Linked DNA regions of Cricetulus griseus. The protein of the gene in region 2 interacts with the protein of the main gene of each other region in a biochemical or structural test. Links are inferred from orthologs where the notes say so. Each region holds a gene or a part of one and is shown on either strand. Other genes may lie near its edges. The genes, in order: Tert, Ptges3 and Hsf1.

Region 1 (3,650 bases), on a different chromosome or scaffold from region 2:
TGAGGAGTTGGTGGGGGGAGGGAGAGGGAACCGGGATTGGTATGTAAAATAAGATTGTTTTTAATTTAAATAAAAATTTATTAATAAAGAAAAAAATAGCAATATAAATAGAAAATGCCTGCATTTTCAAAATAATGAAGTAACATGCTTCTAAATCACTAAAGAGTATATCAAAAACTGCAATAAATAAATAAATAGAGAAGGTTTTGAACTGAGTGATAATGAACTGACAAAAGCCAGCATGTGTACGGGACTACTGAGGGGTCTTGCAGAGAAATGTATAACTTCAGGTGTTTCCTTGGGATTGGTGTAATGGCTAAGCAAGTAAAGACACCTACCACCAAACCTAAGGACTTAAGTGCAATCCCCAGACCCATGTAGTGGATGGAGAAAATAACTCACACATGCTGTCATCTAGCCTCTACAGAGGCACAATGGTAGCTGCTCTGACCAGAGTAGGGAAGGAATCGCCTGGGTGTAGTGATCCTTGGTGCAGAAGCCACATGGCCACTGCACATATCATGCATGTATAGTTAAAGCTTGCCTGTGAGTCTTGTATGTCCTATATATAGGGAAAGGAAGTCACCTTGCGCCTCTCCCAGGCCTAAATTCCTCTGCCTTTGAACCCACAGACCCCACCTACCTACTGAAGAGGATATTGGGGGGATCTCCATTGGGAGTCCTGTAGAGGGAGGCACGCTGGGGTCTGACAAATGATCACTGGCACCATGGATACCCAAGCCACAGACATGTCCTTGTATGGACATGCCAGAAATGTGGACCTATCACAGCCTTACCTGTGTCACTGAAAGAGTCCAGATATTCACGACATGAAAAGCCCTGTGCCACCAGCATGCTCACAGCACAGATGAAAAGTCCACCATAGCCTCACCTGTCTCCTGAAGGACCTGTGGATTTGGCCTTCTCTATCTCTTTGGATCACTGCATATTGGCGGATACAGTATGTGTTCTCCGGGTGTCTGATCATATTGGCAACAACCTCCACAAGCTTCTCCTGCGGGATGGCATCATATGCCCCGGTCACATCTGCCTGTGGAACACATGTGAACACTAAGCATGGTTGGGCCTAGGCCCAGGGGTCCTGCTGGCTCTGTCCTTGGTGTCTGGGTTCCAACCTGCCCTTAAGCAAACCAGTAGGAGATAGACAGACAGGAGAAAGAAACTCCATGCTCCTGTACTAGCCTAGCCACATGTGCCTATCCCACAAATTTCCCATTCCAGACAAAGGACCCTGGGGCATAGTGGGTCTACATTCCTCTCTCCAGCCCAATATCCCAGATTGAGACCCTTAGGTCAAGGAAAACCTACATTCTCCTTGCAGAGCCTCACAGCCTGCAAGGGCCCCTGCCTAACACAGATACTGAAGCATGCAGGCCCTAGTGGTAGACAGAGTCAATCATGGCTAGTAGGACCCAGCATCCAACGGGATTCTCCTATAGGGTAGATCCCAGAGGAATTGGAGCGCACTGTCCAGGGAATCCACACAAGGCTATCCCAGAAGTATGGGGTCCCCCTGCTCCAGAGAGAACAGGAGGCCACGGTAACTTTGGCCTATATATGGTAGCAGGGGCCAGCACTCTCAACCACCACCTACAATAGGGTCACCCAGTGTTGGCTGCTCCAAGGAGGTCCCTTGAGTCAAGACCATGGGAGCAAATGTGATGGCGGGAGTCCAAATGATCACCTTAACAAAGTACATCCTGGGTGCCGGGTTCAGAGTGCGTACATGCAGTACAAAGGCCCGCCAGGTCCTGTAGACATCATTCAGGCCCAGTACAGAAGCCCCCAGAAGGTTAGTATGTTTTGTCCGTTCATAGTTGAGCACGCTGAACAGAGTCTTGAGACACTGGGTGAAATGCTGAGCCTGGGCCAGGGCCACAAAAGACACATTAGAAACGAACCTGACAGACTGTCCCAGACTACCCTGATATCTCAGAGTCTTAGAAGACCTATCCCACTAAGTCACTTGACTGCATTTGGGGCACTCACCCAACCTGCTCCAACCTGTTCTCACCTACCACCAAGGGCACTGCCGTCTAATGAGACATGTCCACTGGGCTGGGGTCAGGTTCAGGATCAACTTCACTCACAAATGTCCCCCAGCTGGGCTGAGGCATCAATAGCTTCACTTTGTGTTCTGGGCATTACTAATGACAAGTCACCCCACACACCTTACATTGGCACCGGGAGGGGTAAGATGTTGTGGACATCCAGCTATGGTGAAGGGAGGCAGCTGCCCTCTTGGTTACTTTGGCCCCTATCATGGAGGCCATAAAGTATCTACCCTACCTGTCAGGATCCCTGAGGTATCTCCAAGGTTTGTGTCCCAAGCCCTTTGGCTCTTGAGACCATCTCCCATCTGTAGGGCCTTTTCACACGCTGAAGTTTTGGACTTGGGAACAACCAGTTCCTCGTCCTTCCTGTTCTGTCTGCCCAGGGCTCAGAACTTCATGAGCCCTTGTGTAACCAGAGAGCAGGCTCAAGCGGCAGTACAGGAGCCAAGTGCAATCACCTGCTTCCCTTTATTAAAGGCTCTGGCGCCCATGCTATAACTCATGTTCACAATGGGCCGAAGACCACTGGGCTTGGGGATGAAACGCAGTCTGCAGATGGGCATGGCTGGCCAGGCCTCCTGGTGCTGCCTGACCTCCTCTTGTGACAGTTCCTGCAGCTGCACTCTCTCAAGGTGTTGCCTGTTACAGAGAGCATTGTGGAGTTACGACATGAGCATGTGGGAAATTCGAGAGACACATCCCATCAGGGTGGTTAGGAACTTGGGTCATTTGACAACTGGCCAAGCTATGGGACTACATCCAGGACCATAGCAACTCTCGACAACCAGGCAACCCACACAACTGTCTGGGCAGGATACATGACATAAAGCCTGTGTTTGCACTTGGGACATCTGATCCCGTAGTCTGCCCTCGTGTTCCCTTCTGGGGTGATCCCATTGGCCAGGGCACTTTTGAAGCAATCTGCTGCACTCTGTGGATAACCTGGCTTAGACACAGGTGTGAAAGCAAAAAGCATCCCTGCCCACCTCAGGTTCATGTGTGCCAAAGTACATAGGAAGTCCTGTGTTGGCTGCTAAGGATCCCACAAGCACAGTGGGTGATATGTAACACATAATGAGGGTTGGACTTCATGAAACATGGAGCCGGGTGGCGATGGCACACACCTTTAATCCCAGTGCTCAGGAGGCAGAGGCAGGAGAACCTCTGAGTTCAAGGCCAGCTTTGTCTACAGAGCTAGTTTCAAGACAGCCAGGGCAACCTTGGTTAACATGGCAGTCTGATCTCTGCAGGCCTTGCCTGGCATCTATTCTGCCTCCTCAACTTGGTCTATGTACTTTCCACTGGTACAGTAAATCCCAGCTCAACAAGCAAAGAACCTCAGCCACTCAGCGCCTCCGCCAGCTCTTGGGGTGGAATCTTGTGGTTTCCCACTGAGGAGGCTCCTCATATTGTACTTCCTTCAGGACATAAGGTAGAACCCATCTGACCCATGTACCAAACAAGCAGCTACTCTACTCCTGTTTGGTGCGAATTCCTCCTACGTTATTGAGCCTATAGATGGTGTAGGCCCAACTTAAGATTTTACAGGTCAGAAAGCAGGATCTCCAGTCCATG
Region 2 (3,650 bases):
CCCACAATACTAAGCTTTAAAAGGTGATGTTGAGGAGCTGGTTGAGAACACTTGTTCTTGCAAACGACCAGGGTTTGACTTCTGGCAACCACATAATGGCTCATAGTCCTCTGCATAACTCCATTTCCTGGCACTCTGACACTGTCTTTGGACCTCCAGGGCACCAGGTTCCCTGATGGTGCAGACACATAAGCAGGCAAAAAACACCCATACACATTAAAAGGAAAAGCACATTAAAGGACTACAGGGTAGAGGATGCCACTACGAGAACTCACCTCAGAGAAACGGTCAAAATTGGACATATCTTCATCTGAATCATCCTCCCAGTCTTTCCAATTGTTGAAGTCCACACTCAGCCAATTGAGCTACACACAGATTAACAAAAGCATCACCACATGTTATGATTTTTGAACGTACATCCACTAAGGGTACATAAATTAGCACAAAAAAGACAAAAACCCAAGTGAAACCAAAACTGGACAGGCTCCAACTATATAGCCCAGTGTGCTGGCTATGTTTTGTCATCTCAACACTGGTTAGAGGCCTGAGAGAAGGGAATCAACTGAGAAAATGCCTCTGTAAGATCAGGCTAGAGGTAAGCCTGTAGAGTATTTTAATTAGTGATTGACAGGGGAGGGCCCAGCCCACTTTGGGTAGGGTAATCCCTAGGCTGGTGATCCTGGGTTCCACAAGAAAGCAGACTCAGTAAGCCATGGGGAACAATCTAGTAAGCAACACCCCTCCATGGCCCCTGCATCAGCTCTGGCCTCTAGGTTCCTTCAGTGATGGACTATGCCTGTGGAAGTGTAAGCAAAATAAACCCTTTCTTCTCCAAGTTGCTTCCTATGGTTTTCACCACAGCAATAGTAAGCAACCCTAAGACATCCAGGCAAGCTTGTCCCAATTTGTTTTAGCATCAAACGTGCCACCAACTCCTGATGCGAAAGCCTGTTGTGTCTCTTGAATGCTAAATTTCTGTCATCAACTGGGGACTTCCTGACACTTGGCAAGAAAGCGAAGTGCAGGACACTGTTTTCATACTATTAAAGACTACACAGAGAAACCCTGACTCCAAAAACAACAAAAAGCAAACCAAAACAACAAAATCTTATTACAAAAATTCATTTTACTTCTCAAGAACAGAAAATGAGAACCCACCTTTGCCCTCTCCTTTGTTAACCTAGGCCATGATTGGCCAGATTCTCCTTTCCGCAAACAACATAAAATTGATCTGTCCGTTCTTTTATGCTTGGAATCCTAAAACAAGAGCATCATCACATCATTTCACCTCTACTGTAAATGGTAAAGAATAGCCTGTCCCATTCTACTTCTCCCTCTCCACTTAACCCCCCCCCTTTTTTGGTGGTAGTGGTGGGGAAGGATTGTTAGAAACCAAACCTAGGACCTTGAAATGTACTAGGGAAGTACTCTGCCACAAAGCTGTACTTCCATAATTTGGCCATTACTGTGCAGCCTGGCTGGTCTTGAACTCAAGACCCAACCTCAGTGTTACTAGTTTTTGGTGATCCTCTATACTAAACTTTCTTTTCTTTGGCTTGTTTTTCTGAAATGGTTCTTCTATGTAGGCTAAGCGGTCTTGCCTCAACTTCCTGAAAAGTCACCTTATAGGCACAAATCACCTATGTGCTTCTTTCCCCAGACACTTAGCTACTAAAATTTCAGATTATTTAGGAAAATGCTTCAAAGGTACTGTCATCTGTCCAGTAACATAAAAACATGTAGGAAGGAAGGTTGCAAAATATGTAACAGGCTCTACAAATAATCAAATAGACTTAATTATTTACTACAGCATTCCCATTTCCTCATAATTTAAATCAGAATAAAGTGTTAATACTACTTACATTTGGATCAATACAATGAAAAAGATCAATTTCATTTAAATGCTTAAAATTATCACTTCCTCCAAGACAACTAAAAAAAAAGAGAAAAATTCAAATCAGCCTCTTTAAACAACAGATCAACAAAAGAAAATAAGCTTTTAAGTTACTCAATTGTCTGAAATAAGTTCTGGGCAACACCGATGAGTGCTGGCTAGTTTTATGTCAATCTGACATAAGCTGGACTCATCTGAGAGAAGGGAGCCTCAAATAAGAAAATGTTTCCCTAAGATTGGGCTGTAGGCAAGACTGCAAGGCATCTATCTTCTCAATTAGTGACTGATGGGAGAGGGTACAGCCCACTGTGGGTGGGGCCATCCCTGTCCTGAAGTCAGTACTAAGCAGCACCCCTCCATGTTCCTACCCTGACCTCTGATGAACAACAGTGGATGCATAAGGCCAATAAACAATATACCCTTTCCTCCCCAAGTTGCTTCTGGTCATGGTGTTTCATCACAGCAATAGTCACCCTAAGACAAAAAGCAAATTACCTGAAAGTGAGTTTGGATTTCTCAAAATTTACATTAACATCTTTACTGTCTTCAACACAAAATTCAATGAATACATAGTCCCTTCGATCGTACCACTTTGCAGAAGCAGGCTGCCTACAAAAAAAAAAAAGATAAATTCAAGCAGGAATTTAATACTTATAACTTCACATTTAATATAACAATGTATCATTTTTTTGAGACAATTTCTCTCTGTAGCCCCAGCTGTCCTTCCTGAACTTGGAGACCCACCTGTCTCTGCCTCCCAAGTGCCGGGATTAAAGGTATAAGCCACTACCACCTGGCCGTTTGAGAGATTTCAAATCCCCTTATCCCTCGTAAAATTTATTATGAATATTATCAATTGCTATTCGTTTATTTTATAGTAATTTAAAAGAAACATTTCTTTGTGTGTGTACACACACAGGCACACACGAATGTGCCTGTAACTTCAGAGAATTATTTGCAGGAGGTGGTAATTGAGACAGAGTCTCTATATAGCCATGGCTTGATTTAGAAGTAACTGTGTAGAACTATGATCCTCCTGGCTCTGTCTCCTAAATGCTGGATTACAGACAGAAGCCCGAAGGTCTGGCTTAGTGTTGCTGATATGCACCTGTGTGCAAGTGCCCACAGAGGTCAGAAAGGCTGGAGTGACAAGCAGTTGTGAACCACCAGATTCAGATGCTGAAAACCAAACTTGGCTTCCCAAGAAAAACAGGGGGAAATTTAAACCACTGAGACATTGCTCCAGCCCCAGCTTAGGAAAAAAAAAAGTATATTTATTTGCGTGTACATGTATGTGTATCTGTATATGAAACTACCCACTACCAAGAACAGCCTACATTTTGATTATAATGGCGGAAAATTTCAGAGACCTGGATAAGGACAAAATCTGCTGTCCTCAGCAGGGCAGGTCTTAGAGGGTACTGGTTTATGCCTATAATCCCAGCATTGGGAAAGCAGACGGAAAAGCACCCTATCTCAATTATAGCATGAGCAAGCCCCTGGGCTTGAACCCAAGCACTAGAGTATTTTAAACAAGATGGGTTTTGTATGGAGTGCCTTTTCCCTTTGGCGCAACCCAGTCTTAGAAATGTTGCTGTTTGCCATGCATGGTGGTGAACACCTTTAATCCCAGCACTCAGGAGGCAGAAGCAGGCCAGTGTGGTCTACAGAGCCAGTTCTAGGACAGCTAGGGCTACATAGCAAAACCCAGCCCTGAAAAACAACCAACCAACCAACCAACACACCATTTAAAAGA
Region 3 (3,650 bases), on a different chromosome or scaffold from region 2:
GATGAGGGCTCACTAGCACCACCCAGCTCTGCTAGTTCTGCTATACTTCCAGGGGAGGATTCAAGTGTCAGCCGGGGAAGGAGGCCATGGATAGAGCCTGATGGTACACTTCAGGATCCTAGCTGAAAGGGGGGCCACAGGACTTGTCACAAACTGGCTAGACATACAGAGCAGGGCATTGGGAAAGATACTAAACTGCTGAGTACCCTCAGGTTGGGGGTAAAGGGCAGCTGAGGACTGTGATGCCCTGTACTGAGTGATAAAGGAGGAGTAGGGGCCACTGGGAATAGAGAACAGTGGGGAGATCTGGCCCCAGGACTGTTCTGGTCAGCTCCTGCCAGCCTGGTTTTAAGGGAGGCACATGCAAGGAGGGTCTGTATGCTCAAATCCTGAAAATGTGGAGCCCAGCAGGGCAGTGAGAAGTGGGTACAGTAGGAAGTTCCAACTCTATTCTATGGAGATGAATAGGCCACAGTTTTTGCCACAGAAACAATGGAAGGCAGGTTGGGAAGGGGGAGGGAATCCTGAATGGCTCTGCACAATAAAGACCCAAAGCAACCTGGCCACCCTCCTGAGCCTTGGGACCTACTGTTTCATGGCCAGGAGCTTGGAATCCATACACTCCTGTTTCCCCTTCATCAGCTGCACATCCGTCAACAGCCTGGTGACACTGTCCTGGCGTATTTTTATGTCCTCACTCTTCAAGGTGGACACCTAAGGGTTGGGGCATACAAGAGTCTGAAGTGGCTCTGGAGTGTGGTTGGCTCTTGTGCTTCACCTGGAAATCTAAGGAGTGGGGAGAGTCTGGGAAACACTGGGAGGGGGAGGAGGAGGGGTTAGAGAAAGATGAGTAAAAGTACAGGCTATGCTTTCAGGCTAGTCTTGCAGCACCACCTAGCTACTACTCCCAGCCCATAGCCTGCAGGGAGATATGAGGACAGGGAGGGGCTGTACTCAGGGCTTGTGACTCACGCTGGTCACTTTCCTCTTGATGTTCTCAAGGAGCTGTTCCTGGCCACGCAGGAAACATGGATGCTGGAACTCGGTGTCATCCCGCTCAGGCTTGACCAGGCCACCGTGCTCAATGTGGACTACTTTTCGGAAGCCATCTGTGCATATGGGGGTGGGGCAGTTCTGCTTGAGGACCAGGAACCAGACCCCCAACAGCCTAGTCATAGCCTAGGGCAGGCAAGGGGCCTTCTAAAAAACTGTAGGAAATTCTGGCTGGTGTCCATTTACCATAGCTAGTTAATCATGGTTTGAAAAGACCTTGTCATTGCTCAGCTTCCTCTCTTGCAAATGGAAGTATAGCTACTAGGGTAGGGTCTCATACACTCTTTCTTCCTTGGGGAATTCAGGCTTACACCCACAAGGATCCTTCCTTAGCCAACCCAGGCTTTATTCTCTCAGCAATATGTTGGGGTCTGTTTCTCCACACCCTTGGGAAGGAGGCTACCATTCCACAAGAGGTACTTACACATGTTGAGCTGCCGCACGAAGCTGGCCATGTTGTTGTGCTTGAAGTACTTGGGGAGCACTTCCTTGGCAAACTGGCCCTGGTCAAACACGTGGAAGCTGTTCCCACTCTGTCAGGAGACACATGGGCATTCGATATATAGCAGCTGCTGCCATATTTCCACCATGGCCTGAAGCGCCTCTCCATCTCTCTCCAGAGAGAAGCAGGAGGGAGTTCAATCTTAGCACTCTATGGCTGCCATCCAGGCCATGGAGTCAGAGACAGGATCCTACTTCCTGGCAGTTTTCAGTTGCTAACTTTAGACTCATAGATCACCTACAGCATTCTGGTTGTCTCTAGGGACATTTAGCTTTAATCATTTAGCTTTAATCAGCAAATTTTTCCTTAAAAATAACAAAGATCAGCTGGGTGTGGTGGTACATGCCTTTAATCCCAGCACTTGGAAGCAGGGGCAAACAGCTCTCTGTGAGTTCCAGGCCAGCCTGGTCTATAAAGTGAGTTCTAGGACAGCCAGGATACACAGTGAAATCCTGTCTCCAAAAACAAAAGAATAGATAAAATGGAGATAGTTCAGTGATTAAAAGTTCTTATGGTTCTTGTAGAGGACCTGAGTTTGTTTTCCACCACCCACATGGCAGCTCACAGCTGCCAGGAATTCCAAGTTTCAGGTGACCTGATAATCCATTTTTGTTCTCTGTAGGTTTGAATGCATGTGGTACACACATATATGCAGAGACACACAGACATATCACACAGCTCTATGAAGCCAAATTGTGGCAACTAAAGAAACAGGAATGGGATTTCTGCTGCTGGAAGACAGTCCTGCTCAGAAATACCACTCTTTTTTTTGGGGGGTGGGGGGTTGTTTCGAGACTGTCCTGGAATTCACTTTTGTAGACCAGGCTGGTCCAGAACTTACAGAGATCTGCCTCTGCCTCCCAAATTCTGGGATTAAAGGAGCACGCCACCACTGCCTGGCTTCTTTTTAGAACTCAAGATTGTTGAATGCTACATGGCTGCACTTCTGGGCGTGTGCTCTCCTGAACACAGTCCAGAACCACAAGGAGGGGCAGAAGTGCCATGGCAACTCAGAGGCATTAGATCCCGGAGTGGGGAGGCCCCACAGTGGGGAGGGACAGTAGCGTCATGGATGCACAAGACAAATCAGCTAAGGAACAGGTCTCTTCGCTGGGGTGGGGGATCTATAATACAGGCAGGTAGAAAAAATGAAAAGGAGCCCAGTGGATTAGCACTGGGGCTGCTTTCCAAAATGCAGAGGAATGAAACAGGTCTAAACAGAAATAGTAGGGCAGGTGGAAACAGGAGGAAGAGAATGCAAAGCAGCAGGAAAAGCACTGGGGAGGCGGGGGGAGTATGGTATCAGGGAAAGCAGTGGGCTCTTTACATCACACATCCAGTCCCACTCTTCCCCTCAGCTTTGAAACCAGTGGGAGCAATGGCAGTGGGAACATGGGTGAGAGACAGCTCAAGGTCCTGGTGCTAGAGGTCTCTCCAAGCAAGGCTGGCTTTGCTTGATCTGAAGCTGACACAGTCCAGAGGCTCTTTAGAAACATGTAGAGGAAGATTTGAAATGGCTGCTGAGACAATGTATAACACAGGCTAGCCAGAAACCTTAAAAGGTGGTGAATGAGGGATCACTAGGGACTCTGAAATATTCCTGGGAATCCAAAGGCTATGCACACATTACAGCTGTTGCATGTTCAGGGGAGACCTAGGAGGGTCATGAGCTCACCCTCCGGCAGGAATGGGAAATAGGATATAAAGCTGGGTTGTTAACTCCCAGGCTATGTGTTAAAGATAGGAATCAACAGCCAGGCAGTGCTGGCGCATGCCTTTAATGCCAGCATTCAGGGGGCAGAGGCAGGTGGATCTCTGTGAGCTCCAGACCAGTCTGTTCTACATAGTGAGTTCCAAAATAGCCAGGGCTACATAGAGAAACCCTGTCTCAAACAAACAAGCAATTCACCTGGGGACTCAAGGAAGATGAGAACAGGGAGAAACGCATGTCAATAAGCACAAAAATAGGCCAACTGAGGTTACAGTTTGAAGACAGTGTGGTAGTTTGAGTAAGAATGAGCGCTGGGGCAGTGGTGATGCATGCCTGCGATCCCAGCAGAGGCACGTGAATCTCTGAGTTCGAGGCCAGTCTGGT

What was found.
Region 1: the proteins of Ptges3 (region 2) and Tert form a complex in vitro, tested with the Homo sapiens proteins (2 studies listed by BioGRID). The link is inferred for Cricetulus griseus from reciprocal best matches to the Homo sapiens genes PTGES3 and TERT.
Region 3: the proteins of Ptges3 (region 2) and Hsf1 form a complex in vitro, tested with the Homo sapiens proteins (2 studies listed by BioGRID). The link is inferred for Cricetulus griseus from reciprocal best matches to the Homo sapiens genes PTGES3 and HSF1.

Annotation. Positions count from the first base shown.
Region 1 is NC_048595.1:368,307,564-368,311,213, reverse strand, and holds part of Tert (telomerase reverse transcriptase), read right to left. Parts: intron 2,715-3,650; coding exon 2,534-2,714; intron 1,886-2,533; coding exon 1,706-1,885; intron 1,052-1,705; coding exon 893-1,051; intron 1-892. UniProt on the Homo sapiens protein: Telomerase is a ribonucleoprotein enzyme essential for the replication of chromosome termini in most eukaryotes. Active in progenitor and cancer cells. Inactive, or very low activity, in normal somatic cells.
Region 2 is NW_023276806.1:129,798,724-129,802,373, forward strand, and holds part of Ptges3 (prostaglandin E synthase 3), read right to left. Parts: intron 2,504-3,650; coding exon 2,390-2,503; intron 1,933-2,389; coding exon 1,863-1,932; intron 1,258-1,862; coding exon 1,159-1,257; intron 366-1,158; coding exon 276-365; intron 1-275. UniProt on the Homo sapiens protein: Cytosolic prostaglandin synthase that catalyzes the oxidoreduction of prostaglandin endoperoxide H2 (PGH2) to prostaglandin E2 (PGE2).
Region 3 is NC_048595.1:373,787,153-373,790,802, reverse strand, and holds part of Hsf1 (heat shock factor protein 1), read right to left. Parts: intron 1,587-3,650; coding exon 1,478-1,586; intron 1,110-1,477; coding exon 973-1,109; intron 715-972; coding exon 590-714; intron 1-589. UniProt on the Homo sapiens protein: Functions as a stress-inducible and DNA-binding transcription factor that plays a central role in the transcriptional activation of the heat shock response (HSR), leading to the expression of a large class of molecular chaperones, heat shock proteins (HSPs), that protect cells from cellular insult damage.